Cricetulus griseus: one gene and its partner. The protein of the gene in region 1 purifies or fractionates together with the protein of each later gene. This does not show direct contact. Links are inferred from orthologs where the notes say so. Each region holds a gene or a part of one and is shown on either strand. Other genes may lie near its edges.

The links. The genes of interacting proteins can lie anywhere in the genome.
Region 2: the proteins of Med19 (region 1) and Polr2k purify together in Homo sapiens (affinity purification with mass spectrometry; 3 studies listed by BioGRID and IntAct, with this or other methods). This does not show direct contact. The link is inferred for Cricetulus griseus from reciprocal best matches to the Homo sapiens genes MED19 and POLR2K.

The regions. Positions count from the first base shown.
Region 1 is NC_048599.1:90,851,553-90,856,536, forward strand, and holds the start of Med19 (mediator of RNA polymerase II transcription subunit 19), read right to left. Parts: upstream 3,573-4,984; 5' UTR 3,485-3,572; coding exon 3,268-3,484; intron 1-3,267. UniProt on the Homo sapiens protein: Component of the Mediator complex, a coactivator involved in the regulated transcription of nearly all RNA polymerase II-dependent genes.
Region 2 is NC_048603.1:15,288,046-15,293,058, forward strand, and holds the start of Polr2k (DNA-directed RNA polymerases I, II, and III subunit RPABC4), read right to left. Parts: upstream 3,111-5,013; 5' UTR 3,014-3,110; intron 1,939-3,013; 5' UTR 1,930-1,938; coding exon 1,869-1,929; intron 1,319-1,868; coding exon 1,226-1,318; intron 1-1,225. UniProt on the Homo sapiens protein: DNA-dependent RNA polymerase catalyzes the transcription of DNA into RNA using the four ribonucleoside triphosphates as substrates.

The DNA.
Region 1 (4,984 bases):
CTTTCTTCAAATTCTAAATCCTGTTCACATCACTGTAGCCTCTTAATTCTAATAATTAGAACTCACATTCTGTAATTATAGAAAACAATACTTCTTAGTTAAAACAAGATAAGAAAACAGTGGTAGTGTGCTTGTGTAGCAATGTGGAAGGCCTTGAGTATGATTTTAGGTACTGGGGGGTTGGAGAGATGCAAAGAAACTATTATTTAAATTCCCATGGTACAAGTCACTCAATCCACTCGGTGGTGACGCATGCTTTTAATTATAATTTTAGCACTTGGGAGGCTGGAAACAAGTTCCAGGACAGCCAGGGCTACACAGAGAAACCCTGTCTTGAAAACAAACAAACAAACAAACAAAAGTATTAGGCTCAAGTGCCATGATTGTTTTTCAAGACAAACAACAAAAAAATCATGGCACTTGAGCCTAATACTTTTGTTTGTTTTCAAGACGGGGTTTCTCTGTGTAGCCTAGGATGTCCTGGAACTCACTCTATAGACCAGGCTGGCCTTGAACACACAGAGATCCGCCTGTCCCTGCCTCCCAAGTCTAATTAATACTTTTTAAAAAATTATTTCTTTTTTTTTTTAGATTTACTTTACTTTGTATGTATGAGTGCTTTTCCTGAGTGTATGTCTGTTTGCTATATGCATGCATGATGCCTACAGAAGTGGTGAGCCTCCGAGTGGGTGTTGTGAATTGTGCCCTCATCCTCTGCAAGAACAAGGGCTCTTAACCACTAAGCCAATTCTCTAGCCCCTGAGCCTAATGCTTTTTAAAAATGATTTATTTAAAAAATTTTTAGACAGTCTCTCTGTCTGTTCCTCTCTCGTTGGATGCCTTGAAGCTCCCTATATAGACCAAGTTGGCCTTGAACTCAAAGATCACCTGTCTCTGCCTCCAGAGTTCTGGGACTGAAGGTGTGAACTCAGCCTGAAAGATTTAATTTTACCTCATTTGTGTGTATATGTGTTGTGATGTGTGAATGCATTCCACATATTATTTGATTGCTTGTGGAGCCCAGTAGAGGGTGTTGGGTTCCCTGGAGCTGGAGTTAGGGGTAATTGTGAGGCTCTCATGTAGGTTCTGGGTACCAAGCTGGAGTCCTCTGAAAGAACCAAGTGCCCTTAACCTCATAACTTTGGAGCCATCTCTCCAGTTCTCCTGGCCCTTTCTGAGGACTTCATGCTTACTAAGCATGTACTCTACCAACTGAGCCACATCCCCAGTCTTTCTACTCATACTTTTATGCCAACTTAGCTTTGGGGCCTAATCAACCACTATACTACTCTTCCATTCAAATTGTTTTTCTTTTCTTTTCTTTGTTTTTAGTTTTTTTTTCCGAGACAAGGCTCTTCGTGTAACAGCCCTGGCTGTCCTGGAGCTCATGCTGTAGACCAGGCTGGCCTCGAACCCACAACCTGTCCGTCTCTGCCTCCCAAGTACTGGGATTAGAGGCATGCACTACCTCTGCCCGGCTGACAGCTTATTCTTGCTGTCATTTTGGCTAACAACATTCTGAAAACCATCAAGTAGTTCTTAATATTTTCCCTAAGATATCTGAAGCAAGACTACAAAGTAATAAGATTGACACCAACAAAAAATACAAGCATAGCCCTTAAACCATGTATTTTGAATCTCAAAAAAAAAAAAAAAAAGCTACCTAAAAACCAGGCTTACTAATCTCCACTTCTCACACCATCCCTCCCTCCATTCCCACATATCCAGCATTTGCCTAGAACAGAAATCACTATTTGTCAACTGATTTACACAAACAAGTACAATTAGAACAGGTAATGCAAAAGATAAAGAAAGCTGGGCATGGTGGCACACACTTGGAGGCAGAGACAGGTGTATCTCTGTGAGTTTGAGATCCGTCAGATCTACGGTGAATTCCAGGCAAGCCAGAGCTACACAGTGAGACCCTGTCTCAAAATCAAAACAACTAAAATAAAGAAAACTGTTGGAAGACACCTATCACTAAAGTACAGTCAATTTCTTTATGCTTCAGTTTCTCAATTATAAAACACAGACAATACTTATCTAAAAGGGCTATAAGTATTACATATTGTTACACACTGATATGAAATTGAAATTATTTTGCTAATAGTTACTGGAATGAACTGAGGACCTTTTTTGAAGCAGGATCTCGTCACCTAGGCTGAGCTTTAATCCAGATCTTCCTGCCTTCACCTCCTAAGTGCTGGTGTGTAGTACCACAAATCCCTAAGACTAACACCTCTTGATTTTTAGGCCTTCAAACTTTTTCTTTCCACAACTTCTTACTCTCAGACTATCATACCCTCTGTAGAAGACACCCCCAATTCTCTCTTTTTATATTTATTTCTGTAGGCTCTGCCTCTAACATGTATCCTTTATCCATTCACTTCTCTACAGCTAAGATTTAGTCCAAACTATTATTTCTTTCCTGAACAATGGCTGGTAACATCCGATTATCTTACTTTCATTCCTCATGTTGCTGCTGAATATTTGAAAATCAATAAATTAGATCATTTTGCACCCATGTTGAAATGGCTTCAATTTGAAATTTAAACACTCTACATTGCCTTATAAAGGTCTTTGCCTATCTCCCATCACTACTGGATTTGTTTGTTTTACTGGAGTCCAATCTGTCTTCGACCCCTTAGATATTCTAAGCTTCCCCCCCACCCCCCGCCTCCTGATCGATCAAGTCTCTCGTATCTATAGGTATCTCTTTTCTATCCACCGATAACTTTATTTACTCTTGAATGCTATCTACTCAGAGAAGACCTGTGAAAACTCATGCATGGCAGGTAAGAGTCCTACCACTGAGCCATGCGCCCCCAATTTCCAAATAATTGTATAAATGAAAGAATTAATTCAATTTTAATATTTTCTTTGAACATGTCAATCTCCGAGTCCCTGACAAGGATGGCTACTTACTATACACCTAACAGACTTTAAAGTCTTAGCGTCTCCAAAATTGTTAAATCAGGTCTCCCGAGTTCCAAACAATGGCTCACGTTTTTATAGAGTCACAAACGGCGGTCAGAGAACCGGATCACAGAACTTTTCGCCAGTAGTCCCAGATAGTCACACCCACCCCAAACCCATCCCATGAAATCAAGCTCTCTCTTAGGGTTATGAATCGCCCAAGAGCTTCTGACACTTGAGTTGCCCGCTGGCCACGCGTCGCCCGTTGCTTCACGCCTCGCACAGCAGGCTGAAAGCCACACCCGTCACCTAATCAGTACCTGATTGGCTGCTTTTGACCCCACTACTCACCGGGCAATTCCCGCATAAGGTAGAAGGGGCCGCTTCCAGCAGCCGACTTGTCTGCGCCCGCAGGGGCCGAGGTCGCCGTCGGGGGCGGGGCCGTGCCTGGGCCACCTCCCGGAGGAGGCGGAGGTGGCGGGGGCGGCTTTCCAGGCCCGAAACCTAGGGCGCTTGGGGGTGGTGGGGGGTCAGCCTGAGCTCCAAACAGCGCGGTGAAATTCTCCATAGCACTCTCGGCTCCTGCATTACCCGGGATCTGGCGTTAATGACTTTCATTGGCCAGTACTTTCCCAGGGTACCACCCTCGTCCTCGAAGAGCTTCCGGCCATTGGATACACTAGGCCCCGCCTACCACCTTCCTGTAGTTACTTCCGTCGCTCTAAGAGACAGTTTGGGAAGTAGTTCGCAGTCTTACAGCCAATAAAATGACTCAGGTAGAAGAGCGACAACTCTATGGACCAATAGACTGTCTAACTCATTTTCTCATCTATCATAGCACCCAATAAGAGATCTACATCCGGGTCCGGAGGCGTTGCATCTGATATTTGGCCCAATAGAAGCCTCGCTGGTGGGGGGCAGCGGAGGGAAGGGCTGGGGGCCGAACGGAGCCTGCGAGAGAACCGGCAAGGAAGATGGCTGTCCTCGCGCCTCTGATTGCTCTGGTGTACTCGGTGCCGCGGCTTTCTCGATGGCTGGCTCGACCTTATTGCCTTCTGTCTGCCCTGCTCTCCGCTGCTTTCCTCCTCGTGAGGAAACTGCCGCCGATTTGCAACGGTCTCCCCACGCAGCGCGAAGATGGTAACCCGTGTGACTTTGACTGGGTGAGCGCCCCCTGCCTCAGCTCTCGTTGACCATCCCTGCCCCTGCAGGTGCATATGAAAGTGTGGGGGAGATTTGGGGATGTAACCATCTGACAGACTGAATGGAAATCCGCTGCTAGTCTTAACCTCCTTGTTTAAGATGGAGAGAGAGATCCCAGGGTTTCTCCACACATAAACAGGGTTCTGCAGTGATGCCAAGCTTCCTGGAGCGCCGGCGAGGAAGGCAGGCAAGCCAGTAGTAGAAACACCACTTTTAGTCATTTATTTGACAAATTGATCGCAGTGTAGCTATTTTATTTATTTATTTGGCAAATTGATCTCAGTGTTGTTGGGCGACTTTCCCAAGGTCACACAGCGTTCACAAAGTGCTATCTAATCTTGTTCAAAACCCTCTGATAGGCCGACTTAGATCGCTAACTCAACAAAATTACTTAGGTGGAAAAGCAACCGCACGACTACCCTGGCCACTGTAACTGCACATACTATCATCCTCAGGGAGGATAGAAAAACAGAGATTACAAAAACATGAGGAGGGGGGAGCCTCTCACCATTTTAGAAGCACTAATTTCAGAACAATTAACATTTGCTGTGAAGGTTGTGGAACATAGAGCTAATATTCCTTCCCTATCTAAATATTTATGTTAAAATAGCAGTGATCCTGGGGCTGGAGAGATAGCTCAGTGGTTAAGAGCACTAGCTGCTCTTCCAGAAGTCCTGAGTTCAATTTCCAGCAACCACATGATGGCTCACAACCATCTATAATGAGATCTGGTGCCCTCTTCTGGCCCACAGGGATAGATGCAGACAGAACACTGTATACATAGAAAACTTAAAAAAAAAAAAAAATTGCAGTGACCCAGACTTAAGTTATTACTATAACCTTGGGTATGCCTCATTTCTTTCCT
Region 2 (5,013 bases), on another chromosome or scaffold:
TTCATATAAAACGAACAAAAGACTGAACTTCATTATGGCCACTGGAGATAATCTAAAAAAATAAAATACTCAGCTTCCATTTTCATTAGTTCACTCTCTATTACACAGAAGATAACAATATAGGTAAATTTTAAAAGATAATACGAAAAAGATATTTTAAAACACTGAAACACTGATGATTTTGAGAGTCTGTGTCAGTTACACTGAAACAATTTCAGTATTTGGACTAATTTGTAGGCCTATTTTCCACTAGGTTATTAATTTCTCCTCCCATACTTTAGATTACCCATAAGCTAACAATCAAGAGTGACTACTTCTAACAAAGAATTCCTGAAAAAACTAAAAACATTTACATAAACCCAAATTGATTAATTTTTTAATTACTTAGAGCCCATAATGAATGGCACGAAAACACTAATCATGTTTACTTAAAAAAAAAAGAGCTGGTGTACAAAAGGACTTTGGGAGCCCATCCCACGTGGAGGGATGCTCTCTCAGCCTGGACACATGGGGGAGGGTCTAGGCCCTATCCCAAACGATATGACAGACTTTGGGGATACCTCATGGAGGGCCTTACCCTCCCTGGGGAGCAGAGGGGGGGATGATGTGGTGAGTTGGTGAAGGGCTAGAGAGAGGAGGGAGCAGGGATTGACAATCGAAGTAGGCTTGTTTCTAATTTGAACTAAAAAAAAAAAAGTAAAATAAAAGCTAAAATCACTTACAGGGTTTTTTAAACACACACACACACACACACACACACTTGGGTCCTTTGTACAGGTGGAGGTCGGAAAAAGGGATCAGACCCCCGAAACTGGAGTTACAGAGGATCATGAGTAATTATGTTGGTGCTAGAAACAGAACACAGGTCCTCTGGAAGAACAGCCGATGCCCTTACCTGCCTGCTGACGAGTCTCTCTAGCCCCTATTTGTTTTTTTTGACACTGAGTCTCACTTAGTAGTTCTAGCTGGCCTTGAACTCACAAAGCTCTGCCTGCCTCTTTTCTCCAAGTTTGGTGAAAAATAATTCATATTAAAATAATATACATTTACGTCCTTCAGAGCCCCCCACATTCTCAGTTAATAAACTCTTCATTAATAAAGTCACATTCAATCTGCTTAGAAAAATAAACAACCCAAAAGTTGCTACTTTTGTCAGAACTTGGTCTTTATCAACCGAGTATTAGTTATTCCTCTTTACGTTTAGAAAGCCCAGTCAGAAGGATACATCTTTTTGTCCTTTTCTTGTACATTATTCTGTATCCACATTCTCTGCATCTGATTGGATCCCTGGACTTTATTTCATTTTCCGTGTGACACTCTAGGGAATAAAACACGTTCAGTCAATGCCTGAAAGAGAAACACTACAGGGAACCAAATATAACCACAGACTTCGCCAGAGCAAGTCAAAGCCCCGAAACTAAATACACCAAGGAGGAAAGAAAAGAGCTGTCGGCAGCGTACCTTTTCCTGATGAAAAGACAAATCTTAACGAGGGACTTTTACATTAATGATGCTAAAGTGTTTCACTTGAACTCGCAGAGATCCCCCTGCCTCTGCCTCCTGAGTGCTCCGCTTTATAACTTTGAAGATCAGTACTCATATATGGAAAGTTGAGGTAAAATGTTCCTACTTAAGCAGGGCATTGGTGGCACATACCTTTAATCCCAGCACTAGGGAGGCAGAGGCAGGGGGATCTCTGTGAGTTGGAGACCAGCCTGGTGTACAGAGTGAGTTCCAGGATAGGCTCCAAAGCCACAGAAAAACCCTGTTTCAAAAAAACAAAACAAAAGCAAAAAAAAAAAAAAGCCAAACAAACCAAAAAACCAAAACAACAACAAAAAACGTTCCTACTTAAATGTTAATCTTACCTCCGCAAATATATATCATCGGCTGCTGCTTTGGGGGTTGGACGTCTTTCTGCGCGTCCATTGCTAGTGCCTGAAATCAGAGCCAAAGCTTGAATAACAAGATCATCACACAAAACCAACCAGGCTCCCTTTTCCCCAGCAGCTACGCAAGGTCCTGATTCCGGGGTGAAGAGAAAATCTCAGGTGTAGAATGTTTGCCCAGAACACAGCGGCTCGAGGATCAAACCCCAGTATTACAGAATGAGGGGGAAAAAAATCATAATTCCTTATTTGAAACCCCCCCTTCCCCACCAACTGTGGGCTGGGTCTGAAGGAGGAAACACATTCTCAACAACACAGAATCCATCTCGAAGGTCTACGACACTCTTGAAGGTGCCAGAGGGCATCACTCTTTACACTCGGGGAAACCGAGGCTAAGCACAGCTCTCTGTGTGCCCAGCGTCTCCCGACACTAAGAAGCAAAGGGGGGGGGGGCTGGAGAGATGGCTCAGAGGTTAAGAGCACCGGTTGCTCCTCCTGAGTTCAATTCCCAGCACACACATAGCAGCTCACAACTGTGTGCAACCCCAGTTCCAGGGCACCCAGCTGACATCCATGCAAAATACCCAATGCACAAAAAATAAAAATAAACTTAGAAACCCTGTCTCGAAAAACCAAACAACAAATAAACTAAAAAAAAAAAAAACCCACAAAAATCCGCTAACTCCGCCGGGGATCTTGTCATAAATCATTTTTTAAATTTATTTTATTTTATGTGCGTTGGTGTGAGGGTGTCAGGTCCCCTGGAACTGGAGTTGCAGACAGCTGTGAGCTGCCATGTGGGTGCTGGGAATTGAACCCGGGACCTCTGGAGGAGCAATCGGCGCTCTTAACCTCTGAGCCGCCCCTCCAGCCCAGTCACCGACCATTTATTTACGTTTATTTGGCTCTTTGAGAGGCTCCCCACTTGGTAGCCCAGGCTGGCCCGGAACTCACTTCATCGCCCAAGCCAACCCCAAAGCCCGGGCGTCCGTCTGCTGAAGGCGGCAGTCCCCTGCCTCCGTTTCCCGAGCGCCCAGGCGGCGTGGAGCCAGCTCTCCCGGGCACCCGGGAACTTTCTAAAACCTTCTAAAGCCAGTTTTTTTGCCCTCAGACCGATCTCTCACCTCCGCGGCTCCAAGCAGAGTCTCGGTACGCACACAAACGTTCCCCCGCGTCCTCAGTGACGGACTCACTACCGGCGCGGACCGCGCGCTTCCGGCGCTGCCTAATGACGCGCAGGAGCCCCGCCCCCGCCCCGTCCCCTCCGCCGCCGAGAGCCCGGGCTGGGCACAGGCGACGGCGGAAGCCGAAAGCAGCTCTCGCTCCGGCGGCGGTCGCGGGTTCGAGACTCGGGCTCGTCGCCATTTGCTCGTCGCCATTTGCTCGTCGCCGTTTGCACAGGGTTCTCTTTTGTTTGGCTGCCCTTCAGCGCGCGGCTCTCCCCCAGGCCCCGGAGATGTCAATTAAAAATACTTTTTTTCAGGACCGTTGGCTTAGCTCGGTGGCTCGCAGGGGTGAATCTTCAGGAAAACGGTCGCTTGAGCTGCTTCCTCCGCACACAGCCCAGCAGCCTGTTAAACGCTCGCCCTCAGCCACGCTACAAAGTCTCCCCAATCCTAGGGCGGTCAGGTGTGTCTGCCGGGCTAAGCCCCGGCTGTAGAGAAAGGGTGGTGTGGCTTCTCACTTGCTAGTGAAAGACTTAAAAATTAGCAAAGAAATATAGCCCAGATAAGGAAACTCTCCAAACTGAATGTAGGGCGGCCTAACTCGGAAACTAAGGCCACTATTAGGACTTAGGGCCTGGAATTTACCAGCCGCAAGCAATTACTCCCTTACAAGGCCATAATATAACTGGGTACCAAGAATTCCCAGATGGCCACCCTCCCCGAGGGGCTCATGAAAAAAACAGATTGCCCCACCGGCCAATGTGTCAATCATTAACAATTAAGTGTCCCTGTGAAACAAAGAGATAGGTACCATTTGCTCAAGCAAGCTAAGCATATCCTGAGGTCTGCAGGTTTTACAGCTGGTGGGTCAGGAGGCCATCTGATTCCCAGCCCTCTCCTCAAGACAAAGGGTCTCTTAGGCACCTGTGACTCTGGTCACACCCCTCCCTAAGCTTGTGGTTTTTGCCTTTAAAAAGGCCTGTGCCTGGGGGACGGGGCTGCTCTCTAGCCTGCATGCTGAGAGAGCCCCTTCGTACAAACGTCTACCTTTCATTAAAGCCTCTTGCTGTTTGCATCAAGTTTCCGACTCCTCATGATGATTGGGATGGCCGCAGTCCTGGGAAAGGATTCTGGAGGCCTGAGCTTCCAGGGGGCTTACATTAGACGTCTGAGATTTTAAGATTTCGTTGTTTCTTTGTTTTGTGTTTTTGGTTTTTTCGAGACAGGATTTCTCTGTAGCTTTGGAGTCTGTCCTGGCACTCACTCTGGAGACCAGGCTGGCCTCGAACTCACAGAGATCCGCCTGCCTCTGCCTCCTGAGTGCTGGGATTAAAGGTGTGCGCCACCACCACCCGGCTAAGATTTCGTTGTTACTTTGAGTTGTCTGTGTTAGTGCCAGCAGAGACCTGAAAAGGTCCTCGGAGCCCCTGGACTGGAGCTACAGACTATTAGAAGCCGCCCTACGTGGGTGCTGGGAACTGAACTTGGTCCTTTGCAAAAACAGCAAGTGGTCTTACATGCTGAGCTACCTCTCTAGCTCTTGTATTTCCTCCCTCCTCCCTCCCCCTCCCTCCCTCCCTCCCTCCCTCCCTGCCTCCATCCCTTCCTTCCTTCCCTGTGTTTTGTTGTTGTTGTTTTTTGTTTGTTTGCTTGTTTTGTTTTGAGACAGGGTTTCTCTGTGTATCCTAGCCGTCCCGGAACTCTCTGTAGACCAGGCTGGTCTCGAACTCAGAGATCCGCCTGCCTCTACCTCTTGAGTGCTGGGATTAAAGGCGGGCGCCACCAGGCATGGATGGGTGGGTGTTTTTCCTACAGAGTCTTGCTAAGTAGCCCACGCTAGCCTGGAATCCAGATCCCTCCTGCCTCTGCCTCCCAGTGCTGGGATAACAAGTGTGTATACCATGAAGTGTAACTTTTTCCTGGATTCTGAATCTGTTCACGCACCAAAATTTTCTGTC